Linked DNA regions of Cricetulus griseus. The protein of the gene in region 1 interacts with the protein of each later gene in a biochemical or structural test. Links are inferred from orthologs where the notes say so. Each region holds a gene or a part of one and is shown in the gene's direction. Other genes may lie near its edges.

What was found.
Region 2: the proteins of Rpa1 (region 1) and Prpf19 form a complex in vitro, tested with the Homo sapiens proteins (2 studies listed by BioGRID, with this or other methods). The link is inferred for Cricetulus griseus from reciprocal best matches to the Homo sapiens genes RPA1 and PRPF19.
Region 3: the proteins of Rpa1 (region 1) and Rfwd3 form a complex in vitro, tested with the Homo sapiens proteins (3 studies listed by BioGRID, with this or other methods). The link is inferred for Cricetulus griseus from reciprocal best matches to the Homo sapiens genes RPA1 and RFWD3.

The regions. Positions count from the first base shown.
Region 1 is NC_048600.1:88,800,248-88,810,021, reverse strand, and holds the start of Rpa1 (replication protein A 70 kDa DNA-binding subunit), read left to right. Parts: upstream 1-4,557; 5' UTR 4,558-4,679; coding exon 4,680-4,712; intron 4,713-9,774. Other genes in the region: SET and MYND domain-containing protein 4, read right to left, coding at 2,961-3,094. UniProt on the Homo sapiens protein: As part of the heterotrimeric replication protein A complex (RPA/RP-A), binds and stabilizes single-stranded DNA intermediates that form during DNA replication or upon DNA stress.
Region 2 is NC_048596.1:49,547,039-49,556,759, reverse strand, and holds the end of Prpf19 (pre-mRNA-processing factor 19), read left to right. Parts: intron 1-872; coding exon 873-1,071; intron 1,072-1,154; coding exon 1,155-1,228; intron 1,229-1,319; coding exon 1,320-1,382; intron 1,383-2,311; coding exon 2,312-2,353; intron 2,354-2,453; coding exon 2,454-2,528; intron 2,529-2,807; coding exon 2,808-2,883; intron 2,884-3,049; coding exon 3,050-3,159; intron 3,160-4,686; coding exon 4,687-4,842; intron 4,843-5,039; coding exon 5,040-5,109; intron 5,110-5,266; coding exon 5,267-5,352; intron 5,353-5,558; coding exon 5,559-5,729; intron 5,730-5,863; coding exon 5,864-5,969; intron 5,970-7,712; coding exon 7,713-7,810; 3' UTR 7,811-8,214; downstream 8,215-9,721. UniProt on the Homo sapiens protein: Ubiquitin-protein ligase which is a core component of several complexes mainly involved pre-mRNA splicing and DNA repair. Required for pre-mRNA splicing as component of the spliceosome.
Region 3 is NC_048596.1:187,708,117-187,717,937, reverse strand, and holds the start of Rfwd3 (E3 ubiquitin-protein ligase RFWD3), read left to right. Parts: upstream 1-4,413; 5' UTR 4,414-4,564; exon of another isoform or gene 4,565-4,938; intron 4,939-5,308; exon of another isoform or gene 5,309-5,452; intron 5,453-6,693; 5' UTR 6,694-6,695; coding exon 6,696-7,195; intron 7,196-9,821. UniProt on the Homo sapiens protein: E3 ubiquitin-protein ligase required for the repair of DNA interstrand cross-links (ICL) in response to DNA damage. Plays a key role in RPA-mediated DNA damage signaling and repair.

The DNA.
Region 1 (9,774 bases):
AGCACAGGCAGTGAGCATCCACACATTCTTGCTGGGTGACTTCACCAGTTTGATGGTTCTAAAGGCCACAGAGCTCTCCCAGGTTTGTATCTCTTTCCCAGGCCTCTTCTTAAATTCCAAACATGTTTAAACATTGCCATTAGGTATCCACTGGACACATGCAACTCAAATATGAAGTATGGATCTTTGTTCCCCATATGTGGTTACCAGATATGGCAACATCATCCTCTACCTTCTCCCTGGGGCCATGTTACTTCTCACATTCTATTACACAACACATTTCATCTCAAGAACTGCTATTAAATCTACCTCAGAATCCAAATGCTTTTTCCTACCCTAACTACGGTCACTTTGGCCTACATTCATCTTCTCATTGGGGTTATAGCAGTGGCCTTCCAGTGTCTCTGCTTCTACTCTGGCTCCTTCTGCTGTCTGTCCTTAACACGGCAGACAGTGAAGCTTTAAAACAGGGCTCAGGGTCAGTGAGATTGTTCAGACCTAAGGCACTTCCTGCCAAGTCTGATGACCTGAGTTTAATCCCTAGAACCCACATGATAGAAGGAAAGAACCACCTGGCAAAGTTGTCCTCTGACTTCCACATGTAAGCTGTGGCACGTGCATGCATATGCCACACACACATACACAAAAGTAAAAGAAATTTAAATAGAAAATCATTAAAAAGAAGAATCAGGGCTCAGCCAACTTTTCATGTAGAAGGCTAGATTATTTAGGCTTTGTAAACCAAGAAGAAAATTTTAAGCTATTATAGTTATTCATTCAGCAAGCAGATTTCTTCTTTTGACAAAATTTAAAATATAATAGTAGAATATAATTTTTATAATATAAGTCTACTAATGACAACAATGGGATTATTTTCTTTTTGGAATTTCTATTTATTACTATTGTTAGTGTTGTGTGTGTATTCATATTCGACAGCATCTGTGTGGAGTTGGATCTCTCTTTCTACCTTTATGTGGTAGGATTGAACTTTAGGTTTCAAGGATTGAACTCAGGTCACCAAGCTTGCATATTAGATGGTCAGGCTTGTTTCCTACAGAAGCAAGCATTTTCTTGCTAAGCCATTTCACTGGCCTTTTTTATTAAAAACAAAAACATAACCCATGTTATTTTTGCTTAATTAGGGTTCAAGGCCAATGCTCCTTACCCTAAAATGAACTGCAAATGTTTATCTGGTAAAAGCATTCTTAGTTGTGGTCCTAAGAGAAAACATACAGTTGGATGGACCTTATCTGGCAGTCTTAGTTTGCTCATCTCTACTTGAAAATACAGTCATCTCACATTACTCTTCCCTCAAGCCTCCGACAACTAGTTTTCTACTGTTGTTCAACAAATTCCACAAACTGAGCAGCTCAACACAGCTGCCATTTATTACCTGAACAGTCCTGTGGGTCAGAAACCTGAGCCTCTCTGCTCAGGTTCTTACAATGTGAGAATCCTCTTTGGAAGGCCTGGGAAAGACTCCCAGGCTCACTGGGTTGCTGGCAGACGTCAGTTTCTGTGATTGTCTGAGGTCATTACTTCCTATAGCATGTGCCACCTGTGTTTCCCCAGTACCCACTGTGTCTGTTACTATTTTCTGTCTACTCTCTGAGCTCATTCTGCTGTGATGCAGACGAGCTGAGCTTTTGTGCTATTGCTTGAATCTGCTGGGTGCAAATACACTCATCTCCTTTCCTGGTGATCTTTGTCATTTGATGTTTTTGTCCCAATTTTTATTATATGTGCTACTGAAACAATCACTATTTTTTTTTTTTTTTTGAGACAGGATCTCACTATATAGTCCATACTGGCCTGGAACTCTCTAAATAGACCAGTCTACTGCCTCCAGAGTGCAGGGGCTAATATTATTGATTGCCACTGAGCAATCAATAATATTGACTGAACAAGTGATCATGTGGTGCTCAGCCCCAACTGATACATTTACAACATAACTCTTGCAGCTAAGGCTCAGGGAACATGGAGGAAGAAGAGGGTGGAAAGAGACTCTTAGAGCCACAGAAAGTCTGCTATGAGATTGCATCTCCTAGAAATGCCAGGGGAGCTACACCTATGAAGACTCAACAGCATGGCTGCCTAAACAAGACCTGACTGAATAAGGATGACACCAATATAAAGGTTAACCTGAAAGGGGGAAAAATTCTCACAGGGGCCCAATGTTAGATATACTACAAGCAACTAAGGAATGTTGAGAGTGGGAGAAATAACAGTCTCCTCCAGGAAACCAGCCTCTAGTTGGCTATTCAGTACCAAGTGGTCAGTCCTAAAGTCATACACATACAAACAGGCAGATTGTAGTTATATATTTAGAAATACACACACACACATACACTATAACTTAAAATAAGATGAGGTCATGAATTTGAGAGAGAGCAAGAACAAGGTGGGAAGGGGTACATGGGAAGGTTGGAGGGAGGAAATGATGTAATTTCAGAATATTCAAAATTAAAAATAATATTAATTGAATAACTGAAATGGGAAATTCCACTGTTTTCTACATATGCACATGTTTATTAGGTTGTGATGTAAAATGTTTATTTTACTAATGAATGTAGCCCATAGAATTTGAAAATTACTGGGGCTAGACTATATGACCTTTAGGGTTCTTTCCCAACTATCGCATTTAATGAATTTCTTTGGGCAGCTACACAATATGCACCATATAGTCTTTGAGTGACAGAAAGGTTTATGGCCTTGGGACTACAGCAAGACACTAAATTCCTGAAATATAACCCATACCAAAATAGCAAACTAGTCATCCCTACACATTCTGTAATCACAGACTAGGGAGAAATGTGAAAACAGACAAGGACTGCTCAGTGCCCCATAATACAAAAAACACAAAGCTACTCTTCCAATCAGAACAAGATATAACTTCAGATCAAATGACAAGAGACAACGTTTTCCAGATCAAAATTTCCCTAAGGTTTCCATTCACTTACTGAAGAAGGGAAGAGGAATGAAGAAAGATGCCACTCAAAGTCTCTGCTGTAGAAATTTCGTCCTGCACAGACTTCGGGAGTAAAGCCCACTTGTTAAGAAGGTAGGATTTCCACTCATCCACAGGCAAATCCATGCTGTCTTAGCTCTGCAATGTCAGAAAATAAGCACTCAGCTTTCTATAAATGCACAATTGTAGAAAAATGGAGATTTCATCCAAGCAAGTGAGAAGCAGCAAAATCAACTCTTCAGGTCTTCTCTATAGTTTCTGATATGCCGAAGCAGATAGAATCGGTGGTACCAAGTCACTGGACATCCTGTCACGCAGAAATATTCTTTGGAAGACTGTTCGAGAAACTATGGTAGATAGTGGTTATATAAACATATTTTTGGATTCATATTCCAGTCTTTCTAGACCTATTTACCCTAGTTGTCCAAGGCCTTCACCCCAGCAACTATGAAGTTAAAGTTTCAATTTCTTTCTTTCTTTCTTTTTTTTTTTTTTGGAGCCTGTCCTGGCACTCGCTCTGGAGACCAGGCCAGCCTCGAACTCAGAGATCCGCCTGCCTCTGCCTCCTTAGTCCTGGGATTAAAGGAATGCGCCACCAACGCCCAGCAAAATTTTAATTTCTAAGATGGTTCAGTTTTCTGTTTCAACCTCCAGATCTTTCTTTCAGCTCATAGCTCAGGCTTTTGCTGTTTTTTTTTGTTGTTGTTGTTTTGTTTTGTTATTTCTTTTTGAGATCGGGTCTTCCTATATAGCCCTGGCTGGCTTCAAACTCACAGAAATCTGTCTGCTTCTACCTCCTGAGCAGTATACCACTCCAGATCCCCAAATTTTTATTTTTGAGGGTCTCATGTAGTTTAGGCTGACCACGAATTTACAGTGTTGTTAGGGATGACCTTGAACTTTTGCTGCCTTCGCATCCCAGGGGCTGGAATTACAGACAACACTCCAGACTCTCCAGTACTTTTGCGTAGGCCATTCGTGCTTTTAGGAACACCATTACCCTCTCTAGGAATCCATCTGACAAATTCCCATGCAATTTGACTCAGTTTAAACCGCATCTCCTCTCCAAAGCTTCACTGATCCCCCCTCCCCCACCCCGGAACTTCACCACACATGTGACCTTTATCGCGTCTCCCCTGAGGCGGGGCTCATGGTGCCTCAAATCCCAGGTCGGACAACGCTCTTCTGAGGGCGGGGACTGAGTCTGATTTACCTTGTTTATCCCACAGTGTCAAGCTCTGGGCCTGGCACGCGAACGGGGCACGCACTGCGTGATGAAGGACTCAAGTCACTGCTTTGACTATATTTAGCAGCAGAGTTACCAACGCACAGGTCCGATTGTCCCCTGGGCTGCCATTCTGTCCAACCGCCAAACGGGCGGGCAAACTTCCGACAGCTGGCAAGAGACCCGCTCAGCCGCACCGCGCAGACACAGTCGTACCGTGGTCCAGCGCCCCGCCCTCGGTTCCCGCCATCCCGCCATCCCGCCACTAGGCCTCGAACCCGGCCTCACGGGTCACGTGCTCCGCCCGCCGCGCGGTAGCCAATGGGGTGGCTGCCGGCGCCTAGGCCCGCCCCTCGTACCGCGCGCACGTTGGGGCTGGGAGATGCACGCACAGAGGCTTTGACCAATCGGTGAGCAGCCCGCGGTACCCCGGCAGTGAAGCTCGGGCAGTGCTGGAGCTCCAGCGCGGGAGTTAGTGAGGCAGCCATGGTGGGACACCTGAGCGAGGGGGCCATTGCGGTAAGGAGACAACCCGGGACCGGGCCGATGGCTCTGGCAGCACGGGCCTGGAGCGGTGCAGAGCAGACAGGGGAGGGAGCAGACGGGAGAGCCTCGGGGAGGATATTGCGTGGCCTCGGGGGAAGCCTCCCGGGGTCTCTGGTCAATACTCTTTCCGCGAGGCATCCCGGTTCCGCATACAAGCTCACGTTTCTTTTACTGCCTACGAAAACTAGACAAACATGCTCCTATTTACCTTCTGCGGCCTCTCTTTCCTTTCTTTCGCATCACCTCCAAACTTTTCTAGAGTTGTTTGTTTTCTTTACCTCCTCAACTCTTGACTCAGATTAGACTTTTCACTGGTCACGAGAGAAAACGTTGTCAGAAGTCGCCAGTGGCTTCCCAAGTAGCCAAGTCGGAAGACGTTTTTCGGTTTTCAGCTGACCTTATTGTTTGGGCTTGCTGGCCATTGCTTCTTTCTGCTAACACTACTCTCTTGCTAGGGTTCTGTGACTTAACGTCGGCAGCTCTTTCCTTGCAGGCCCGTATGTAAGTTTTTGTTGACTCAAAGCCCTGTGTAGACTAGGTCTTCATCTGCATGTCAATTCTTAATTTTTTTCTGCTGAGCTACCTTCGATCTAAACGACTCTCTCTGCCCTCTACCCTCAGAGTCATCTCAAATTGAACATATATCAGCAAATCCATTATGTCCTTTAGTCTGAATTTTAAAAAGAATTACGTGTGAATGTATGTATATGCACGAGTGCATATGTTTGATGTGGTGGGGATGGCGAATGTGCCTGGGAAGCCAGGGGACAACTTCCTGAAGTTTTTGGTTAGATCCCCACTTCTCTGGGGATTGAACTCAGGTATCAAGGCTTGCACAGCAGGCACCTTTACCCACAGGGCCTTCTTGCTGGCCCTCAGTCTGAATTTGTGGATGTCTCTGTCTCAGTGAATTACACCATTTTTTAATTTATACTCATTAGAAACTAAGGAATCCATCTCCCTACATTATGCCTGACTGGATGCCTAACTCCATCACCAATTGAAGTCTGTTTTAACTCCCCACAGATCTCTATTTTACATCGCACTGGAACAATCATTTGTTGTCTGAACTAGTCAGTTTCATTCAACACACTCTCTTCCCCACAGTCCCTGCTTACTGACCCCTTGACAGGCCTTGTCTTTTTTAAAAAAAAAAAAAATAAATAAATTCTTGCCCTAGAGGCTACTGATCATTATTCCTATTTTTTTTTTTTTTTTTTTTTTTTGCTAAAAGACATTCCAGTTCAGCTCAGTTGTTACTGAGTTGGTTGGCAAAGTAACTAGACTGAATCCATTTATTTTGAGACGTTTAATTTCTTTTTGTTCCCGTATTATAGTATATATGACTTTGGGCAACATTCTGAACTCTTTCTCTTGTCTGTAAAATAAGGGTGGTACTGAGTACCCATTGCACAGGGCTAGTTAGAGGATTGTGTTTCTGAACTTAGTGTTTATCCCCTGCTAACATCGCATCATCACAGATGTAAATGCACGTTTATTTGACTTGTATTAATTACTTTGTGGTTCCTATACTAGGTTGTAGAGACAGGCCTACAACCACGTCCCGTGTCCCTTCTTTCAAGTTTTAGTGCCTAGTAAATGTTTACTAGATGTATGAATGAGTGAAACAATGGAAAGAAAGGGATAAAGGTGGAAGGGAGAAAAGAACCAGCTTAGAAGAAAATAAACGGGAAAAATAGTTGTCAGAAAGCAGAAAGGGCTCTTTGGCTACATTAGGGATGTATTAATGTTGAAGCTGGGATTTGAGTTTTGAATTGTCCTGATTAATATTATGGCTGCCACCTTGTACCCTTAAGGCAAATTACAAATGACTTTTTACTTTTATAAAGAATGATCGAAAAAGACAAACATGATATGTACTCACCCATATGTGGATTTTAGACATAGAGTAAGGGATTACCAGCCTACAATCCACACTGTCAGAGAAACCAGTAAACAAGGAGGACCCTAAAAGAGACAAACTTTGTCTCCTGGAGAAGGGGAAAGGGTCACAATCCTCTGAGCAAATTGAGAACATGGGAAGAGGGGGAGGGAGCTACGAGAATGAGAAGGGAAGAAGAGGAAAGATGCAGAGGTCATGAGGGAGCAGAAAGGTTGAGTCAGGTGTAGATTAGAAGAAAGGATATTCAATCGGTAGGGTTTTAGTTGGGGGGGGTGGTAGGGGAGGAAGGGAGGGAGAAGGGAACTGGGATTGTCATGTAATTCAATCTTGTTTGTAATTCAAAGAAAAAAAAAAAGAATGTTCGTGGGTTGGAGAGATGTCTCAGAGGTTAAGGGCACTGGCTGCTCTTCCAGAGGTCCTGAGTTCAATTCCCAGAAACCAGATGGAGGCTCACAACCATCTATAATGAGATCTGGTGCCCTCCTCTGGTCTGCAGGAATACATTCAGAGAATGCTGTATAAATAAATAAATCTTAAAAAAAAAAGAATGTTCATAGGGTTATTTAAATAATTTGATAAAGTTTTTCTTAAATAGAAACATTTTAGAAAACTGTTTCCGACATTGGGTGAAATACTACTTAGACTTTGATCATTAAGTCGTGGGATTTTTATTTATTTATTTTAGGTTTTGTAAGTAAAAAATGTTTTTGTTTGTTTTTAAAGACAATCCAGGCTGGCCTTGAATTTACAGTGATAACTGCCTCTTCTGGGAGTGCTGGGATTAAAGATGTGCCATCATGCCAGGCTCCATAGTGTTTTAATATGTGTTGACGGTGATGGATTGTGGAGACCCCTGGTTACCTGATTATTAGCTAACAAGTGTCATTTTAGCACAAAAGCTTCAGGCCCCAAATGGTTAAGCAAATGGCTGAAAATAGAGTTATTTGGGGGTAGAAGTTATGATAAAATGAGGTTATGCTTGGAACTAATGTGATAAGTAGGATAAGTACAAGACTATATACTTACTGTCCCCAGGGGTGGAGATCGAACCCAGGACCTCAGATGTGTACACTAGGCAAGCACTCTACTGCTAAACTATACTCCTGGACAGCCCATTGTGTATATCTTTACATAATTTAGTTATAGAGAGAAAAAGGCAAGGAAATTAATATTTTTATGATTTCCAATATCAGTTCATTTTTTATTATTAATGTCACTTTTTACAGCCAAAGGTGTTAAAATGCAAAGAGGTATAAACTGTCCATTCCTTTGACTGTTATATTTTGTTGCTTCGTTATTTTTACTAGTAAGTTTTTTGGAAATTTTAATATATATATTATATGGATGTTATGTCTACATATACTTCTGCATACCAAAGAGCATCAGATTGCTTTGTTATAGACAGTTGTGAGCCACCATTGAGTGCTAGGAGTTGAACTCAGAATCTCTGGGAAGAGCAACCAGTGCTCTTACCCTTGAGCCGCCTTTTCAGCCCCAATTTAAATACTTTTAAGTGTTTGTGTTATGCTGTGTCCCAGAGAATATTTTTCCTTTGAGTGTTTATGATGCGTTTTAAATTAAGAACAGTAAAGTAATGACAGATGTGGTTTTAAGGTTGAACAGAATGGAAAGGTGCTTAATGAAACCATTGCCCTTTGCTTCACCTTGCTCAGTGGCTTATTTGTTTGTTTATTTTTTGGGGGAGACAGGGTTTCTCTGTGCAGCCCTGGCTGTCCTAGAACTCACTGTTTAGACCAGGCTGACCTCGAACTCAGAGACCCACCTGCCTCTGCCTCCCAAGTGCTGGGATTAAAGGTGTGTGTCACCACTGCCTGGCTGACAGTGTTTTTAAAACAGGGTCTTGCCATGTAGTCTATGGCCTCTGCCTCACTGTGGAGCCCAGACTAGCTTCCACCTGTGGTAGTCCTCCTACCTCTGTAGTGCTGGGATTACAAGTGTGAGCTATCACACCCAGGGCAGAAATAACTTTTCAAAGAAAAAGTTGTTCATGGGGGCCTGCAACATGGCTCAGTGGTGAAGTATCAAGCCTCATGTTCAGAGTTTGATCCCCAGCACCTGCACGGTAGAAGGAGGGGACTGACTCATGCATGTTGTCCTCTGATCTACACGCACACTATGAATAAGGATTAAAAAACAACAGTCTTCCAGCTGGGTTCTGTGGAACATTTCTGTAAACGAAGTAAGGCAGAGGTTGAAAATTCAAAACCAGCTTAGGCTGCATAGTAAGATCCTGTCTCAAAAAGGATAAAGGAAGAAAAAAGGTCCAGAGATGTAGCCAAGTTGGTAGAGTGCTTGCATGCTTTTCGTGAAGCCCCGGGTTTAATCCCCAGCATTGCACAAAATTTCTAATGTGGTGGTTGGTCTGGGTCAGTCATCTCAGAACTTGAGAGGATTGGTACTTATCTACACAGTAAGTTCAGTGCCAACCTGGTCCGTATGATACCCTCCCCAAAAAGTACACAAGGATGGGGGATTTGTGCTTTCAGTTTTGCTTTTTTTTTTTTTTTGGAGAAACGGTCTCATTATGCTACACAGATTGGCTTTGAACTCCTGGCCTCAGTCATTTCCTGTTTCAACCTGCTAAATAGCTGGGACTACAGGCCTGTACTATACTAAACCCAACTTTATTTTTATTTTTTGGCTATTGTAAATGAAGATGCTTTGAACATTTATGCGAAAATCTTTCTACATATAAATATTTAAATATATCACGTATAAATTATTCATAACATACATAAATTATGTAATATGTATTAAGTTTCTTGTATATGTAAAGTAATCCAGATATTTACAGATAAATATCTGAGAGTGCAGTTGCTAGGTCATATGGTAACTGAATGCTTAATTTGATAGAAATCTCCAACTTTTCCACAGTGTTTATGAAAATTCTAGTTGCCACTGCTCAGTGCCAATCAATCTCTGTGTTTTGCTATCCTGATGAATGTGTGAGTGTAATGCTGGCTCACTGTCATCTTTGTATTTCCTTGATTAGGAATGACATTGAATATCCTTCAGTGTCTTTATTGTCCATTTGTATAGCTTATGAAGTGTCTACATTTTTTTTTGTTGTTGTTGTCTTGAATTTGGTTTTGTTTAGAATGTAGTAGTTCA
Region 2 (9,721 bases), on another chromosome or scaffold:
GTGCCTGGTGCTTGGGAGGCAGGGGGAGGGTGTGTGATCCCTTGGAATTGTGGTTACAGACCGTTGTGAGCCCCCATGTGGGTTCTGGGAATTGAACCCGGGTCCTCTGGAAGAACAGCAAGTGCTCTTAACTCCTGGACTGTCTGTCTCTCCAGGCTCTCTTATTTTCTTGAGATAGGGCCTTGCTTTGTGGTCTAGACAGGTCTGGAAACTCATGATGCTTCCTCCTCAGCCTCCTAGTGCCTAGGATTACAAGTGCCCACCAGGCCTGACTCTTTGGGGGGATGAACACAGGGCTAATGTAAATGCTGTACCACTGAGCAGCCCCCTCATTTCTTGCCAGCCATATTTCATTTGTGAGGAGCAGGATGGCAGCACAAGAGGAGCCTGCTTGTTGGAAGTCTTGCAGACCTGGATTCCAAAGTTTTCTCCACTGTCAGCCTTTGTGACTTGGGGCACACTGCTCAGTCTCTGAGGCTTGACCTTCCTGACTATAGGACATTGATTAGTCCTGTCTGTCTGTACTCTGTAAGAAGTAGAATAAAATTGACAAATTTGCCTTGTGACGTCAGGGACTCTCTTTCATTACTGAGCACTGCACTTGCTGAGGGTAGCTAGTAAATAACCACAGCAGCATTATTTCCTTTCAGAGAAGTGATGGCATTAACATATGTGCTTTACTGCTGAAGTAAAGCAAAGCTGGGGGTTGGAAGGAGCCAGATCTTGCTTCTGTCTATGTGTCCAGGGTGTGGTGTGGAGTAGGAGCCTGAATGCCTTACAGGGCATTCAGGGTCACTCATATGTTAGCTTGGGTCTCTGAGTAGTTCAGGTTGGCTTCAGTGTAGAATAGGAGGTGGTGTCCTCTTCTCCAGGGCTGGCCGAGTTCTCCAGCTCTCCCCCAGTCCTCACAGTGGCCTACCCCCTCCCAGGATGCAGTCATGCTGCACAGCTTCACCCTTCGCCAGCAACTGCAGACAACCCGCCAGGAGCTGTCCCATGCTCTGTACCAACACGATGCTGCCTGCCGAGTCATTGCCCGTCTCACGAAGGAAGTCACTGCTGCTCGAGAAGGTGTCTCCTCTTCCCTGCTGTTCCCTACCCTTTGCTGGCTCTGCTTTGTAATGTCCCATTTCTAACATCATCTTTTCTCTCAGCTCTGGCTACTCTGAAACCACAGGCTGGTCTTATTGTACCTCAGGCCGTGCCAAGCTCACAGCCCAGTGTTGTGGTAAGTGTTCCATTCCAAGCCCCAATAGCTGTCCTTACACAGGTGCCTTTGGTATTGTGAGTTCCTCCCATTCTCCCTTTCTTTTCTCCAGGGTGCAGGAGAGCCCATGGATTTGGGTGAGCTGGTGGGAATGACCCCTGAGATTATCCAGAAGGTGAGTCATATGCTCTTTTGCTGGGAATGCCACATGTCCTCCTAACTCAGTGCCATGGGTCTTGGGGCTAGAGTAAGAATCTCACCCTGAGCAGTGGAAAGCCTGCCCTGCCACTCTTGAGTTTTCTGACTAGGCTGACTTTAGCCTGCCTTTCTCTGTCTCATTTTCCTTGCTTCTTTTTTTTGTTGTTGTTTGTTTTTGTTTTTTTGAGATAGGGTTTCTCTGTGGCTTTGTAGACTGTCCTGGAACTAGCTCTTGTAGACCAGGCTGGTCTCAAACTCACAGAAATCGCCTGCCTCTGCCTCCCAAGTGCTGGGATTAAAGGCGTCACCACCGCCCGGCTCCCTTGTTTCTAAATAGAGTGAGGTATGCACTTCACAGGCTTGTTGTAGGGAAGACTTAATTACTGATAAGGGCAGCTTATAGCTCTTGCTGTTTTTGTGGTCTTTGCTGATATTAAACCACTTTGTGACAGGTTTTGCTTACAAGATAGAAGTTATCTTAAGATGAGGAGTCTGTGACTGTAAGTCATAGCTGAGAAGGGGCAAGGCAGGCTTCCAGACTGCATCGCAGGGTTCTGTTGAATGTACAGTCTGCATTTGTGGGGTCCAACAGTGTCTGAGTTCTAATTTTTGTACCTTAGACCTGGTCCCAGAACACAACAGCCTAGCTCTGTCCCTACTAGTTCTACCATTTGTCACTTTAGTAACCTTGGGTGGGGGGAGGTGAGTCTTTTGATGTTCAGTTTTTTCAGTTGTACCATAAGGTCATGGATACCTCACCTTATAAGACCAGAGTGGAAATGTGTCAGCTTTAGCACATAACCTGGCAAATAGCATGTTTTTGGTGATGCTTATGATACCAGATGTACCAGCACCCAGCGTGCTTTGTCCTTGCAAAATCATTTCTCAGAAAATTGTTCTCCACAGCTTCAAGACAAGGCCACTGTTCTAACCACGGAGCGTAAGAAGGTGAGTTGACCCCTGGTGTGAGCATTTGGCTTTTTGGAGGAGGGGCTAGTTGAAACCTATATTCAATTGCTGCTCTTTGGGGTCTTTTCTGTTTTCTCAGAGAGGAAAGACTGTGCCTGAGGAGCTGGTGAAACCCGAAGAGCTCAGCAAGTACCGGCAGGTGGCATCCCATGTGGTAAGTAGCTGGAGGTGACTCTATTTCTAGGGCAAGATGGGCCAGCATGAGGAGCAGGGGCAAATGCTGCTCAGGCCTCTGACATGGTTTCTTGCCATGCAGTGAGGGAGTTGCTGCATCCAGGCAGCCAGCCAAGCTGGATGGATAAGGGATAAAATTCACTCTTGTTCCTTGCCTGAGGAGGAATACCAAAGGGTATAGGGAGTGGAGGAGCTGTGTGGCTCTCTGGTCTGCCTTGATTTGGCTGTGACTGGATTTTGTGTGGTTCTGTCTGCATAGGGGCTACACAGTGCTAGCATTCCTGGGATCCTTGCTCTGGACCTCTGTCCTTCGGACACCAACAAGATTCTCACTGGTGAGTCTGAGCCTGGCCTGATAGGTCAAGGTGGGAGATGGCAGGAGCAAGGGAAGGTGCAAGCCCCTGGTTCTCTGCATGGATTTGAGGACAGAAAGACCTTCTTTAGCACTGGGATCCTTATAGGCCTGATTCATTTTTTTGTCTTTTTTTGGATATTTTATAGGTGGGGCAGATAAAAACGTTGTTGTCTTTGATAAGAGTACTGAGCAAATCCTGGCCACTCTTAAAGGCCATACCAAGAAGGTCACCAGCGTGGTGTTTCATCCTTCTCAGGTAAGGTACTTTCACAGCCACCCTTGTCCTTTCCTAAGTCCTGTTCCAGTAGTTTTGAGTTTCAGAACCAATCACCCAATCTCTACCTTTTTGATGAACTGAACTGGGCATTGATGGGTCTCTGTGTAGAACCCCAAAGCTGTGGCCCTCAAACCAAAGGAGAAGGAAAATGCAACCAACAAAGCACATTCACATCAATTTTGCATTAGGAAAAGAAAACAAACATCCTAGAGCGTTTATAGATAAACTACAGACAGTAAAGCTCTATATAGTCCTGACTGCTAGGTGTCTGTTCCCATGACACCCTGTGTGGTTGGGTTCAAAATTAAATGTTGGCTGTTGAAAGTGGTGTGAGTTCAAATAGAAAAGAGGATAAAGGTAGCTATTAGAGGAGATTAATGGTCTCATAAGAGTTGAGTACTGTGGCTTGGTATGCAGCTGCATGGGGTGCTGAAACAGTGCCTCCCAGTTAAGTCTTTCTCTTAGACTTAAGGAACTGAGAAATAGAGGACTATTTGTGTCTTAGTGCTCTTTTGCTATGAAGAGACACCATGATCACAGCAACTCTTAATAAAAGAAAGCATTTAATTGGGGGATTGCTTCTTACAGTTTCAGAGGTTAGTCCATTATCATCATGGCAGGGAGCATGGTGGCAAGCCTGACACTGGGCCAGTAGCTGAGACAGACAGACAGACAGACAGACAGACAGACACACACACACACACACACACACACACACACACACACACACACTGTTTGACATGGGCTTTTGAAATCTCAAAACCAACCTATTCCCAATGAGATACTTCTCCAACAAAGCCACACTATTAATCCTTTCAAATAGTGCCGTTCCCTGGTGATTAAGCAGCCACATATATGAGCCATTCTCATTCAAACCATCACAGCTATAGCAAACTGAAAAACTAATTCAAATTGAAGTACTTTTTTTCCTGTTTATTCGTTGTTAGTATTACTTTTGGCTTTTATGAGTATGTGTTAATGAAAGGATAGTTGCTGTTATATTCTGGCTGTTACTGTCCTAACTAGTGGAAATAATTTATTTGGGAAACTAAATAAGCTCTCTGTCTGCCCCAGGTCTTTTGGACAATCAACATGCCCTTGGGTCTAAGTGTGAGGAACATGGGAACATGACCTTATATTCCTTTACAGGCTCAGTCTGCTCGGATCTGTGCCATCTAGTCCAGTAGTCTTTAGCTGCAGGTGCACATGATTCCAGTCCCTCAGTTCCACCCAGCTTTAAAAGGGGGCAAAAATAGCTCTCAGCTGCAGTTGCCCTGTTTACTACTAAGTAGTGAGGGTCTCAACTTGGCTCAGTGTGGCCATTTCAGCAGCATTTATTTTTCTTGGCTTTCTTAGGCACTGTTGTTTAGATAGGTGGTTACAGGCAGAGAGGGACTAGAAGGAGAAGCAGTTGCTGGTAGTTATGGCTGTCCTTTTCACTGTGGAAAAGGGTGTTATAGTACATTTCACTTCCTAGGATCTGATTCTTGGTTGCTTTCCTTTCAGGAACTGGTGTTTTCTGCATCCCCAGATGCGACTATCAGGATTTGGTCGGTCCCAAACACCTCCTGTGTACAGGTTGTTCGAGCCCATGAGAGTGCAGTGACAGGCCTCAGCCTCCATGCTACTGGAGACTATCTCCTGAGTTCCTCTGATGATCAGGTACAGTCCCAGCTAGGGCCCTGAGGAGGCTGCCTACTCACCCTGGGAGGAAGGGCCATCTTGCTGGGGCAGCCAGATTCCCAGAGTTCTGGAAAGGTTTTTTCCCTGTTGTGGGAGCTATCTTTGCCAGTAGGTGCTGAATCAGGGTCTCAGCTACCAGACCTGCTTACTCATTGGCTTCTTTGTCTCACCTCCAGTACTGGGCCTTCTCTGACATCCAGACAGGGCGCGTGCTCACCAAGGTGACAGATGAGACTTCCGGCTGCTGTAAGTGTCCTTAGAGGCACTGAACTCTTTTGTTTGCAGTTTGTCTTTAAGTTTTACTTAGTCATTTGCTTATTTGTTCTAAAGACAGTGTTTACCACTGCACCAGTGTAGAGGCCACGGTGACTACTGACTACAGATCCCTGTCCCCTTTCCTCAGCTCTTACCTGTGCACAGTTCCATCCTGATGGGCTCATCTTTGGAACAGGAACCATGGACTCCCAGATCAAGATCTGGGACTTGAAGGTAGGACATGCAGGCCTCTTAGAGAAGGAACTGATGAGGTGTGTCAGCAGGCCCCAGGATTTCTCAAGGCTTAGGAAAGCCTGGCTTTGTTTGTGTGGCATGGTAATGTCACCAAGGAACTGTGGGTGCACAGGACATGAAGTTTGGTAAGCCCCTTCCTATCTTAACCCGTAAGTGATAATTTTTTGTCCAACCACCACCTGTAGGAGCGTACCAATGTGGCCAATTTCCCTGGCCATTCTGGCCCCATTACCAGTATCGCCTTCTCTGAGAATGGGTACTACCTGGCCACAGCAGCCGATGACTCTTCAGTCAAGCTCTGGGACTTACGCAAGCTGAAGAACTTTAAGACATTGCAGCTGGATAACAACTTTGAGGTGCGCTCCTCCCCAGTCTTAGTTGTTTGTCCTCACTCCCTGATGGTTTCTGAGTTCATGTGAACTGCTTCTCTTTGTCCCAGTTGTTCTGTGGCTTGACATTTGTGTAATTGCCTTTCTTTGGGGTTTGGCAGGTGAAGTCACTGATCTTTGACCAGAGTGGTACCTACCTGGCTCTTGGGGGTACAGATGTCCAGATCTATATCTGCAAACAGTGGACAGAGATTCTTCACTTTACAGGTAGAGGCTGGCTGTGGCTTTCCGGGGCCTTGTACATCTGCTCTAGGAAGCTTCACTTGGTGGTGAAGCTCTGGGCTTGGCCTAGATAGGCCCAAACTATTCCTACTTTTGCTGTCCTGGGAGTGGAACCTGACCAAGTTTCCTACTACTGAGCCCAACCCCCAGGCTGCTTTTACTTATGTCTGGGGGCAGTAGAGCATTGTAGCCTAGGAAAAGCATTTGTGAGTCTGTTTGGCTGTGAGTTGTGTTACTACCTGGCCTCTCCCAAGTTGTGTGTTGAGGAGCAAATTCTGTAATTTGTAATCTCTCTGGTGCCTTAGGAAAATTGAAATGATAATTTCAAACACTCAGTAGGAAATATAGGGGTTTACATGAAAGTGCATGCAACTCATAGGTTAGCAGTGTCTTGTGGTATATTATTTGGTATTGGCTCTTGATTTGAGCAATGAAAAAGAACCAGTCTGGGAAGTAATGAAGGTTTTTTTGTTTGTTTGTTTTGGTTTTTTGAGACAGGATTTCTCTGTATAACAAACCCTGGCTGTCCTGGAACTTACTTTGTAGACCAGGCTAACCTTGTACTCACAGAGGTCTTCCTGTCTTTGTCTACCAAGTGCTGGGACAGTAGATGTGCACCACCACACCTGGCATGTTTTTTATCTTTTTTTTTTTTTAAGATTTTATTTATTTATTATGCATACAACATTCTGCTTCCATGTATATCTACACACCAGAAGAGGGCACCAGATCTCATAATGGATGGTTGTGAGCCACCATGTGGTTGCTGGGAATTGAACTCAGGACCTCTGGAAGAGCAGTCAGTGCTCTTAACCTCTGAGCCATCTCTCCAGCCCATGTTTTTTTTATCTTTTGTCAACTTTATTGGGGTCTATCATGTGTGAGTGATGAAGTTTAAAGTCAAGTTAGGCAGTTTTCCTTTGTGTGGAGATGGAGTCTGGGGCCTTTCCCACAGTAGCAAGTATTCAAGCCCCAACACAAGTATAACTACAACACAAGGATAACTAGAAGTAATAAAGGGAAGTCAGGCTGACAGTGGTGCACAAGAGGGTTTCTCACCTTAGAGTCACCTATGGCCTTGAGTAGCTGCTATAGCCTCAACTTTAGGGGATCTTGCTGGGTGTGATAGCTCACACCTGTAATCTCAATTTTTGATAGCTAAACTAGAGAATCACCTTGAGTTTAGGCCAGCTGGGAGCACAAGAGGGCTTTTCTCTGGAGAGTTGGTGAGATCCGGGTGTTTTCTTAACTCTGGAAAGAACCTGCCCTGGTTCTCCATCTGAGTCCTGTGAGGAAGATAGCTCAGCTTTTTCTATTCTGGATCCAGTCCTGTATTGTGTGCCCTGGACTTTGACATGTTTGAGCTAGAACTGGCTAATGGACCATTCCAGGTCCAAGCAAAGAGCTAAAGGTAAACATACATACTGAATGAACACTGAGTTTTCCAGCTGAAGTATGCTTGCCCAGAAAGCTCAGGTGAAAGGGAATTGGTATTCCTCTGTTAATTTATCCCGCCAACAAAAGATTGAGTACCTCCGCTTCTTGCCAGGTGCTGAGTCCTGGTTAAAATAAGTGGTGAACAGAACCCTGTCTTTGGGAGGGTGTCTTACAGTGCCTTCTGACCCTTACCATCTGGGTTTGTGCCAGGGTCATGGCATTCAATGTCATTCTTCAGCCCCGAAGAAGAAACAGCCTTCTTTCTTATAGTTCCCTTTTTTCTCTCCTCAGAGCATAGTGGCCTGACCACTGGAGTGGCCTTTGGTCACCACGCCAAGTTCATCGCTTCAACTGGCATGGACAGGAGCCTCAAATTCTACAGTCTGTAGGCCCTATGCCTTCTCACAATTCTGGGCCTCATCTCAGTAGTGGGTTAGAGTTGGGGGGCGGGTGGGACCTTAGGAAGAGGGAGGTCTGGTGGGGCAGGGGCATTCACGTCATTTCATTCTGGTCTGGATGATGGTCTGAGCTAGGGTACATGGAACACTGCTATCCATGCAGCCTTCAGGCCCCAGGGAACGGACATGGAGGAACTGTCACCCTATAAATGCTCAGAGTTGTAGTCCGGCACCTCCCCCAGCAGTGGCAGCTGTTCCATGCCTGCTCTGTTTCAGCTCTTCTGAGACAGGGAGGTGAGCCAAGGGAACTGTGAAGGGGAGGGGCAGGAGAGCTTGTGCTGGTTTTTGTAAGCAGTGATCTAGTTTCATTAAAAAAAAAAAATCCACTCAGTAAATATTGTCATCTCCTTGCGTCCGTCTGCCAGAGAGACCCTGAGTTGGGAAGAACAAGGGGAGAGACCAAAATGTGAGACACTGGCTATCAGGAAGCCTCCCCTGCAGCAAAAATAAAGCCTAGAAGCCATTTGTCAAAAAAGTCTCCCCTGCTCGGGCAGGACCTTGTTTCCAGTGCCTCCATCAATCATGTTGTGCTTACTCTCTCACAAGCCTGAATGAAATGTGGTGAGGAATTAGATTAGCCTTAGCCTGTTGGTGGTTGCTGTGAATGGATTGTCAGGGGAACTTCAGTTGTGGGTGATACAAACTTGTTCCCAGCTGGCCAAAGAGATTTTCTTGACTGGCAGCTAATCCGCTGAAGTAGAGCTGCTCCCAGGGGAGACAGTTAATGCACAGTAAATAAAAAGTTAGATGGAAACCCTGGTGGGGAGGGGGGATTAATGTAGGGTCCTGTGACTGTGCTACATTTGGAAGTCACCTGGGGACAGGGGGCTAAAGAGGAGGAGAAAAGTTGTAGGTTCTGAGGTTAAGATAAAGGAGATGTGGAGTGGAAGGGCAAGTTACCATTAGGTGTGCCCAGGAGGGCCTTGGGACCATCCCCAGGATGCTGGTGTTGGGAGCCTGCTGTGAGGTGAGGTGTGTGTGCAGGGTTGGGGTGAGGAAAGGGAGCTTGTGTGTACAGATGAGAGACTGTTGGGAAGGAAGAGCTGAGAAGTGAGGCGTCACCTAGAGGCTGTGGACAAGTCAAGATAGTCTGTACTGTAAGCACAGCACAAAGCCTCTGGATATGTGCTGCCAGCAAGTCCTGGGATCCAGGAAATTCAGAGTTACCCGATCTGCCAGGATAGAGAAACCATCTGTTGTAGTTACTGTGCAGCCTGCTGCTCCCTGAAAGTGTATCCAGTAAACTTACAGTGGCTGGGGACATAGTTCAGTTGGTAAGTGCTTTCTAAGCAAGCATGAGACCCTAAATTCGATCCCTAGTGCCTAATGTAAAAAAGCCAGAAATGTCCTTTCTAAAAAGAGAAAATAGGTTTCTGAGACTTGGGCAGTAAGGGAAACACAAGGCCCAGGAGGGAAGACAGCTTACAAGGTCAGGATGCACTTGGAAGTCAAATGATCACTGAGGCCCCCCCAAGGTAAGCAGCAATTGTTCTGCAAATGATACAGGACCACAGGGAGCATCTTTGGTGAGTCATGGCCCATGCTGGGCTGGACTTTTCAGTGGTGAAGCTGCCTTTGTATCATCTGTGCTCCTTGCTCAGATTCCTACACATCTCAATAAACTTGATAATTCACCAAAAAAAAAAAAAAAAAAGCCAGAAATGGTGTGAAGTATGTGGTATGTGCGCAGATAGGGGAGTCCTAGCAAATACCAGAAATGTAAACAAATAGCCACCCCTCTTTATAGCATACCAGTTTATATAGTACATACAGATGGCCAGGAGTTGCAGGAACAAGTGAGGGTTCAGCGACTCTCTCCACCTACTTGTATGAGAGAATATT
Region 3 (9,821 bases), on another chromosome or scaffold:
TTCTAAATTCTTTTTTTTTTAAATGGGGTCTCACCATTAGTCCCAGCTAGCTTGGAACTTGATATATAGAATAGACTAGGCACGAACTCAAAGAAATCTTCCAGTTTTGCCTCTTGAATGCTGGGAATATGGGCATGGGCCACCACACCTGGCAAAGTTCTCATTTGTTACAAATAGAAAACAGGGGCTGGAGAGACGCCTCAGAGGTTAAGAGCACTGGCTGCTCTTCCAGAGGACCTGAGTTCAATTCCCAGCAACCACATGGTGGCTCACAACCATCCGTTATGAGATCTGGTGCCCTCTTCTGGTGTGCAGATATACATGGAAGCAGAATGTTGTATACATAATAAATAAATAAAATCTTTAAAAAAAAGTGTCTGAGTTAAAAAAAAAACAACAAATAGAAAACAATTCCACTGGGGCTGGAGAGATTGCTCAACAGTTAGGAGCACTGGCTGCTCTTCCAGCACCCACATGGCAGTTCATAACCGTCTGTAACTCCTGTTCCAGAGAATCTGACACCTCATGTATATATAAAGGTGGGCAAAACACCAATGCACATAAAATAAATAAATTATTACAAAAGAGATTAGAAAGAAAACCTATGCCAAGTTCATGAGACCCCACACACACACCAAAAAGTACACCAAGGAGCCAACTCACTAATGCAAACGCACAAGGTTTAATGTTAAATTACAAGCCTCAGCAGGAACCCTGTCCAGCAAACTGGCACAGCAGCTGCAGGAAAAGGGGTGCCTGGCCTCAATTGCAAGGGGTTTATAAAGGAAAATCTCGAAAGCAGGGTGGTACGTGCCTTGGCTGTTCAGGATTGGGTAAGAGTAGGTGACCTTTGGATTCATTGACATGGGGGCGAGGGGAAGTAGGGGAGATGGAAGGGCAGGAAGAGAGGGAGAGGGAACTGGGGTTGGTATGTAAAATGAAAAATAATTTTTTAAAATAAGAAAAAGAAATACCATGATCCTTACAACTCTTATAAAGGAAAACATTTAATGGGGTGGCTTACAGTTTCAGAGGTTTAGGCCATTATCATCATGGTAGGATAAGGAAGCGTGCAGACAGACATGACGCTAGAGCTGAGAGTCCTACATCTTGATCAGCAGACAACAAGAAGTGGTTTGAGACACTGAGCGTGACGTAAGCATATATGAGACCTCAAAGCCCTCCTCAAACAAATCCATCCCTATTCCAACAAATTCACACCTCCCAATAGTGCCAGTTCCTATGACCTCATGGGGACCAATTACATTCAGACTACCACAACCACTAAATAATCTCTCCCGTCCCTTTTGCTTTTTAGGACAGGTTCTTACTCTGTAGTCCAGACTGTCCTGAAACTCCCTACGTAGCCCATGCATGCTCAAACTTATAGTGATCCTTGAAGTTTCAGTACCTTGAATCCTGGGATGTTAGGTGTGAGCTAACACAACCAGCTAGGATTTAAATTCCTTACCAAGATTATTATTATCTGTCCATGGCAATTTGTAAGCAAAACCTCCCTGAACTAGTAGTATCTTCCCATATATTTCTCTTCCATCATCTCCTGCCTTTGAGAGTCCCAAATTCCTTTCCTTTGTTGCATCATTTCTCCATAGATGCATTGTTTTCTTGTTAACAATGCTATATATGAAAGAATTCTATGCCATTGCTTCTTATTTTTTATTTTAGTTTTAAGACAGAGTCTTACTTTATAACTCAGACTAGCCTGAATCTCAAGGTCCTCCCCTAACAGCCTCCTGAGTGCTGGGAGTACAAGCAGCTAAGCCACCCTTTGAGATGCTTGCCACTGAGCTTCTCCCACATGCTGGACACTGGCAAGGCTGGAACACTTTGTTCTTCTGCAGCTCATCTTTTGTTCCAGGAGTCTACTCCAGCTTGTTAGCTTAAAGGGTACTGGAAGTATTAAAGCGTTAAGTGTAAATCATGACTGGATATCCTATCAGAACACTTAGAATGTTTACTTTTCACTGAGAAGCCCTTTACATTGTCTAAATTTCTTTAACCATGTAGTACTAATGTATTATTATTATTTCATTTTTATTATTATTCAAGTACTGCATCTTGAACCCAGGGCCTCAAAGATGCTAGATAAATACTATACCACTGTGGTATACTTACTAATTTCTTAATTAAAAAATTTGCTGGAAATTACTCAGTATTGATGTTTTTCGAGACAAGAGTTTCACTGTAGCTTTGGAGCCTGTTCTGGAACTCACTCTGTAGACCAGGCTGGCCTCAAAAATACAGATATCCTCCAGCCTCTGGATTAAAGGCATGTGCCACCACTGCCCAGCCAATGCCCAGGTGAAAAGTAATTTAGTGCTGGAGAGCTAGAGAGATGACTCGGCAGTTAAGAGCATTGGCTGCTCTTCCAGAGGACCTGGCTTCAATTCCCAGCAATCATATGGTAGTTCACAACTGTCTGTAACTTCAGTTCCAGGGGATCTGACACCTTCACACAGACATACATGCAAGCAAAATACCAATTCACATAAAATACAAATAAATACATAAAATTGATGCTGGCCTTGGTAACAAGTGTAGAGAAGAAAAATTTGAAAAATTATTTCTATTGCTCTCTACTACCAATTCTTCTAAAAATTGGTAGCTGAATAAAACTGTGGCAATGTACACTCTGTGTCTGAAGTTTTGCTTTTAAAAACCTACAAGTGGGGGTGGAGAGATGGCTCAGTGGTTAAGAGCACCAGCTGGTGGTCTTCCAAGAGGTCCTGAGTTCAGTTCCCAGCAACCACATGGTGGCTCACAACCATCTGTAATGAGATCTTGTGCCCTCTTCTGGCCTGCAGGAATACATGCAGGCAGAACCCTGTATACTTAATAAGTAAATAAATAAATAAATATTTTTAAAAAAAGAGCACTGGCTGCTCTTATTTTTTTTTCCCCAAGAGATGATTTTTTATTAGTTAGAAACAAGGCTGCTTCACATGTCAATCCCTTCTTCCTCTCCCTCCCCTCCTCCCAACCCCCCACTAGACCCCACCTCATTCCCTCTCTGCTCCCCAGGGAGGGTAAGGCCCTCTATGGGGGTTCTCCAACGTCGGTCATATCATCCTGAGCAGGGCCTAGGCCCTCCCCCATGTGTCCAGGCTGAGAGAGCATCCCTCCATGTGGGATGGGCTCCCAAATCCCCCCCCTTTTTTTTTTTTTGGTTTTTTGAGACAGGGTTTCTTGTGTAGCTTTGGAGCCTATCTTGGCACTCGCTCTGGAGACCAGGCTGGCCTCGAACTCACAGAGATTCGCCTGCCTCTGCCTCCCGAGTGCTGGGATTAAAGGTGTGCGCCACCATGCCCGGCTTCCAAAGTCCTTTCTTATGCCAGGGACAAATACTGATCCACTACCAGGGGCCCCATAGAGTACCGGGGCCTCCTCATTGACATCCATGTTTAGGGGTCTGGATCAGCCCCGTGCTGGCCTCCCAGACATCAGTCTGGGGTCCATGTGCTCCCCCTTGTTCAGGTCAGCTGTTTCTGTAGGTTTTACCAGCCTGGTCCAGACCTCTTTGTTCTTCATTCCTCCCTCTCTGCAACTGGGTTCCAGAGTTCAGTTCAGTAGTTCAGTGTTTTGCTGTGGGTGTCTGCCTCTGCTTCCATCAGCCACTGGATGAGGGCTCTCAGCAGAGGTCAGGGCCTAGCACTGGCTGCTCTTAAAACAAAACAAACAAAAAATCTAAGGAAGATTTCTTCTTTCAGAGACATGATTGAAAAAATCTTGTGCAGCAATTTAGACTTCCTAGGTAATTTATTGGAATAATTTTTTTCTTTTTCTTTTTTTGGTTTATCGAGACAGGGTTTCTCTGTGGCTTTGGAGCCTGTCCTGGAACTAGCTCTTGTAGACCAGGGTGGCCTGGAACTCAGAGATCCACCTGCCTCTGCCTCCCGAGTGCTGGGACTAAAGGCATGCGCTACCACCGCCCGGTTTGGAGTGGTTTTAAAGTGAAGAAATTGGAGAATTTTCTTCCTCAGTCTTCTTCCTGCTAGACTGTTCAAATGCAGAACGGTTTTTAAAAAGAGAGAGAGAGAGAGAGAGAGAGAGAGAGAGAGAGAGAGAGAGAGAGAGAGAGAGAGAGAGAGGAGAGAGAGAAAGAAAGAAAGAAAGAAAGAAAGAAAGAAAGAAAGAAAGAAAGAAAGAAAGAAAGAAAGAAAGAAAGAAAGAAAGAAAGAAAGAAAGAAAGAAAGAAAGAGAAAAAAAAGAAAAGCAAGAAAACTCTTAGGCTCTACCCCTTTAGGGGCTGGGCACGAGATGACGGACATGAGTTTCTACCAATTGTATGAGACTTCCTTGCATGAAGTTCTGGCCAAGTAAGTATCAAGAGCCGGCCAATGAGAGCGCCACTATTTCAGCCAGCGGCGACCAATGGAAGAAGAAGAGAGGGGATTGGTCGTCGCCATTGGTGGCTGACAAATGGGAGCTCGCTGAGCCGCGAGTACTGCAGAGTTGTTTGGCGCGGAGGCGACCCGAGTTTTCGCGGTAACGACAGCACAAGTCGCGGTCGGTCGGGGCGCGGACGTGGCCCCTGCAGTTTGAGGTGAGGCGAGTACCTGCTTCTCCTCGGGCCTCGTGTCCCTGGATGCGGATTGTCTTCTCTCGGCCCGTGCCTGGTCGCGGGGCCTAGTCAGGTTGGCTGAGGGCGGGTTGGGAACTCAGCGGTCTCCTTCGTCCGGAGCTCCTCGAACCTGCTTCCTGCATTCCCGAGGAATATGGGGGTCTGGGGCGAGAAAGGCGGAAACGACGTGAATCTCCGGAGGGAGCTGAGGCGCGGTTCGGCATGCTCTGGTTGCCGGCTCCAGACGGAGTAGTTCTCCAGGTGTCGTCCCCCCCCCCCCCGTACTCATTGGCCCTTGTTACTGGCTGTTTAGCAGAACTGAAAATTTACCTCCACCCCTCCAGTGTAGCTGTGACGTAAGTGTTTCCTTTATCTCTTTTCTGCGGGTGAGCAGGCTTGCACAGACAGGAAACTTACTTTAGGTTTTCAGGTACTAAAAGGGGGAACCTTTATCTGAACCCAGGTCAAACTGAATCCCCACGGCCTCCCGACGTCCTGTTTATTGGGGCCCCCCACCCCTGCCTTGTGGTTGCCAAGCTTCCTTGTAAGATGGCAGATATGAAGTTCACGGTTTTGGTTTTGTTTTGTTTTGTTTTGTTGTTCGGTTGGTTTTGTTTTTTTGAGACAGGGTTTCTTTGTGTAGCTTTGGAGCCTATCCTGGCACTCGCTCTGGAGACCTGGCTGGCCTCCAACTCAAAGATCCTCCTGCCTCTGCCTCCCAAGTGCTGGGATTGAAGGTCAACCTCCTGCCTCTGCCTCCCAAGTGCTGGGATTGAAGGTCAGCGCTGCCAACGCCCGGCCTAAGTTCACGTTTTGAGTGCCGCTGACGTTTCGTGGTCATCAGTCTAGCGTTTTTGTAACGTGCTGAAGGTAAAGAAGCAGTGGGGCCCGTGGGTTTGCTTTAGACAAAATCCTGGGTTCGTGTACAGGATTTGGGGAAAGGTGTTTATTGCTTTCTACCAGTGCGATCGAGGAACTAACTTAATTGTAAACTTCAAATGGCTGGCTGTAGGAAGTAAACACGAGTGGACAATTGTGTGGTCCTTACATTCTGCCTTTATTGATTCAATCCTGACTTTTTTTTTTTTTTTTTTTTTTTTTTTTTTTTTTTTTTTTTTTTTTTTTGGTTTTTGGTTTTCGAGACAGGGTTTCTCTGTGTAGCTTTGGAGCCTATCCTGGCACTTGCTCTGTAGACCAGGCTGGCCTCGAACTCACAGAGATCCACCTGCCTCTGCCTCCCAACTGCTGGGACTAAAGACATGTGCCACCACTGCCCGGCTAGACTTTATTTTTAATTAATTAAATTTATTTACTAAAATAAAGTTTTGCCAAGTAGTTCGCGTTTTTGAAACCTGCTTTGTAGTTCAAATTGTAGCCCAATTCCCCATTCTCCTGCCTCTGCCTTCTCCCTGCTGGTGCTAAGATTACAGATAATGTCACCAAGCCCAGCAAGTTTGGCTTTGATGTAATTGTATGTGTGCCTGGATTAATGGAAATACCTGTGTATACTAGGTTACTACTAAGCATTAGTAGTAGTCCCCAGTCTCACTTACAGTTTTTCTCAAAGAAATTTAAATTTTATCTTGCAAATGTAAAAATGTCTTCTGTGGCTTGCCTGAGAGTAGGTGGGTGGAGCTAGGTTGTAGAGCAATATACTTAGTGTGTACAAAGCCCTGTATTCAGTCCTTCAGCACCACATGTACCAAAAAAATGGCATTTCTGTATATCCTTTGTTACTATTTTTTCCCCCTTGCTTTTTGGAGACAGGGTTTCTCTGTAGTTTTGAAGGCTGTTCTGGAACTCACTCTGTAGACCAGGCTGGCCTTGAACTCGGGATCTCCGAGTTCAAGGCCAGCCTCTGCCTCCCGAGTGCTGGGAATAAAGGCTTGAGCCACCAATGCCCAGCTTCCTTTGTTACTTTTGATGCTATGAAAGATTAATATTACCTGTCATGCAGTATTATGTTTGTTTTAAATCCTCTGTTTTGCTAGAAAGAATCTTAAACAGAAATTCTGAAAGACTAGTTATATCAACTATATAACATGTTCTTTTGTTTGTTGTTGTTGCTTTACCTATTTTACTAACATGTTTCACAAATACTCTGTCCCTAGTGATGGCTCATGAAGCAATGGATTGTGATCTTCAAGTACCAATAGATGGTACTATAGAACAGGCTCCTCCAACTGAAGTTAGCAGCCAAGGGGCACCTCTCCTCCAGCCTGCCCTTGCTGAAGTGGCCAATAGCCAGGGAGGAGCACTTGGTCAACTTGGGCCTGCTGAAGTGGTCAGCAGCCAAAGCGGACTGCAGCCTCTGCCACCAGCATCCATTGACTTAACAGAGGAAATACAGCCCTCAGAAGAAAATATGGAGACTGCCAATCCAGGGACTTCTGAGGAGCGTAGAGAGGAATCTGGTGCTAACCAAACTGTCCGAGCTGCTACAGAAGTTTCAATGAACAACTTCATCAGCGGGCTGCAGAGACTTCATAACATGCTGGAATTGCTGAGACCTCCACCTTCAGACCATAGTGTGGGGCCAGTGAGAACGAGGAGAAGAGCGGGATCTATTTTGAGGGCAAGAACTGGAGGGTCTCAGAGGCCACGTGGTGCCAGGTAAACTATAAATTAGATGATTGATGCCACTCTATGAATTGTAAAACTCAGATTCTGGATACCTCAGGTGCAACCAAAGTTAACTTTTCAGAATTCCCCCTTCCTGATGATAGATCCATAAAATTAGTGCTTGCCATTTTTACTTCTTTTAGTATTGAGGGGATAGTTTCGGTTATGTGCTTTGAAAACTAAGGCAAGTTTGTCAGCAATAATATTTACTGAAGGTTGGCCTTTTATTTTTAATTTTTCTTCATTATATATACAGTGTTCTGCCTGCATATATGCCTGCAGGCCAGAAGGGAGCACCAGATTTCATTATAGATGGTTGTGTGTCACCATGTGGTTGCTGGGAATTGAACTCAAGACCTCTGGAAGAGCAGGGAGTACTCTTTTTTTTGTTTGTTTGGTTGGTTTTTTTATTTATTTATTTTTTCAAGACAGGGTTTCCTTGTGGCTTTGGAGGCTGTCCTGGAACTAGCTCTTGTAGACCAGGGTGGTCTAGAACTCACAGAGATCCACCTGCCTCTGCGTCCTTGAGTGCTGGGACTAAAGGCGTGTGCCACCACCGCCTGGCTACAGGGAGTACTCTTAACCTCTGAGGAGCCATCTCTGCAGCATCCCCACCTCCACCTTTTATTTTTTAATTAAAATGTTTTCACATATGTATGGAGTGTGTGCATGGGTATTGATGCAAGATCTCAGTTGAACCTAGAACTCCCCCATGTGGCTAGGTCAGTTAACCAGCTTTCTCTGGGAATCTCTTGTCACCTGTGAATTATAAGTAGCCCTCACCACATTTACAGATGTTCTGGGTATTTGAACTCTGGTCCTTAGGCTTGAATGGCAGGTGATTTATTTGCTGAGCCATCTCCTCAACCATGGTGTGCACCTACCCTACTTAAAGATTTATTTATTTTTAAATTCTGGGTATTGTGATGCATGCCTTTAATCCTAGCCCTTAGCAAACAGATCTCTGTAAGCTTGAAGATAGCATGTTCTACATAGACTCTGTCTCAAAATAATAATAATCTAAGTATGAGGGGTGGATTGTAGAACAGGTGTTGAAAGATGTGTTGTTAGCCAAGCCATTTGATGGATAGTCATGTAACTTTCTCTGCAAGTGAGTAAACCTAAAAAGTCCAAGGCTCTGCAGCTTCCTGGAAAGAATGTGGATTCTCTAACAAGATAAATACAATACTAAAATTCTGGGTTTTAAGCAAATTCTACACTAAATCTGTGTAGCTGAATTTTCCTAGGACTGGTTGCTTCAGACTTCTGAACTATATTTTTGTTCTTTGTTTGAAGGTAGGGGTTTTTGATTGTTCTTTGTTTTTTGAGACAGGGTTTCTCTGTAGCTTTGGAGCCTGTCCTGGAACTGGCTTTGTAGACCAGGCTGAACTCACAGATTTACCTGTCTCTGCCTCCCAAGTGCTGGGATTAAAGGCATGTGCCACCACTGCCCAGTTTTGGTTTTTTACATGTACTTATTTGTTTGTATGTATATGAGCTCACTCTTGGCTCAGCATGGATGTGGATGTTAAGACAATTTTCTGGAGTTGGTTCTGTCCTACTATGAGTCCCCAGTTAATTAAACTCTAGTGATTGGCTTGCTCAGCCATCTTCACCAGCATTACATAGGGTTTTTTGGTTGGTTGATTTTGGTAATTTTTTTTTTTCTCCAATGAGATACAGTCTTATTATATAGCTTAGGCTGGTCTGGTAAAAGCCTCCAACTTCCACTTCATGAGTGCTGAAATTATAGGTATTGCCACCATACTGTCTTCTGAATTTCTGAAATTTAGGTGAATTTCTTGATGCAGTGTTCGACATTGACCCACCTGATAGACTCCCTGGGGCCAAAATGAGCTGTTTCTGCCTTAGACCTAGCCAGGAGGCCAATTTGAGGAAAAAAATTAAATAGTGAGCTGATCTTCCCAACAGACCCCTAAGCCACGGTTATAAACTCCATCCTGCTTGATTCTAGCTGCCAAAGCCATCATTTATTCATCAAATATTATAAGTAGTATGTGAAATTGAATTTTACCTTAGAGATATTGATAGACTAGAGGTACCTGTTATCACAAAGCTAAGGAAAACTAGGACTATACATAATAAAACCTAAATGTATTCTTTAACTCAAGAACAGTTTGGGCTGAAGAAATGGCTTAGGACTTGGCTGCCGCTCCAGAGGACCAAGATTTGAGTCTTAGTATCCACATAGCAGCAAATAACCATCTAATAATCCCAGTTCTAAAGGATTTGGTGTCCTTCTTCTGACTTTTATACTACATGAATGTGGTACACAGACATCCATGCAGGCAAAATGCCATAAATGTAAAAAAAAAAAAAAAAAAATCTTAATGAGTGTCGTGCATGCCTTTAATCCCAGCACTTTTTAGTCCCACAATGAGGATGGATCTTAGAATACAAAGCCGGGAGGTGGTAGCCCATACCTTTAGTCTCAGCACTCAGGAGGCAGAGACAGGTCTGTCTCTTAATTTGAGGTCAGCATGGTCTACAGTTGGAGCTCCAGGACAGCCAGAGCTACAGAGAAGCCCTGTCTCACAAAAACCAAAACCAAAAAGAACTAAGCTTAATTTAAAACAGGTATAAAAGGATTTCTTTA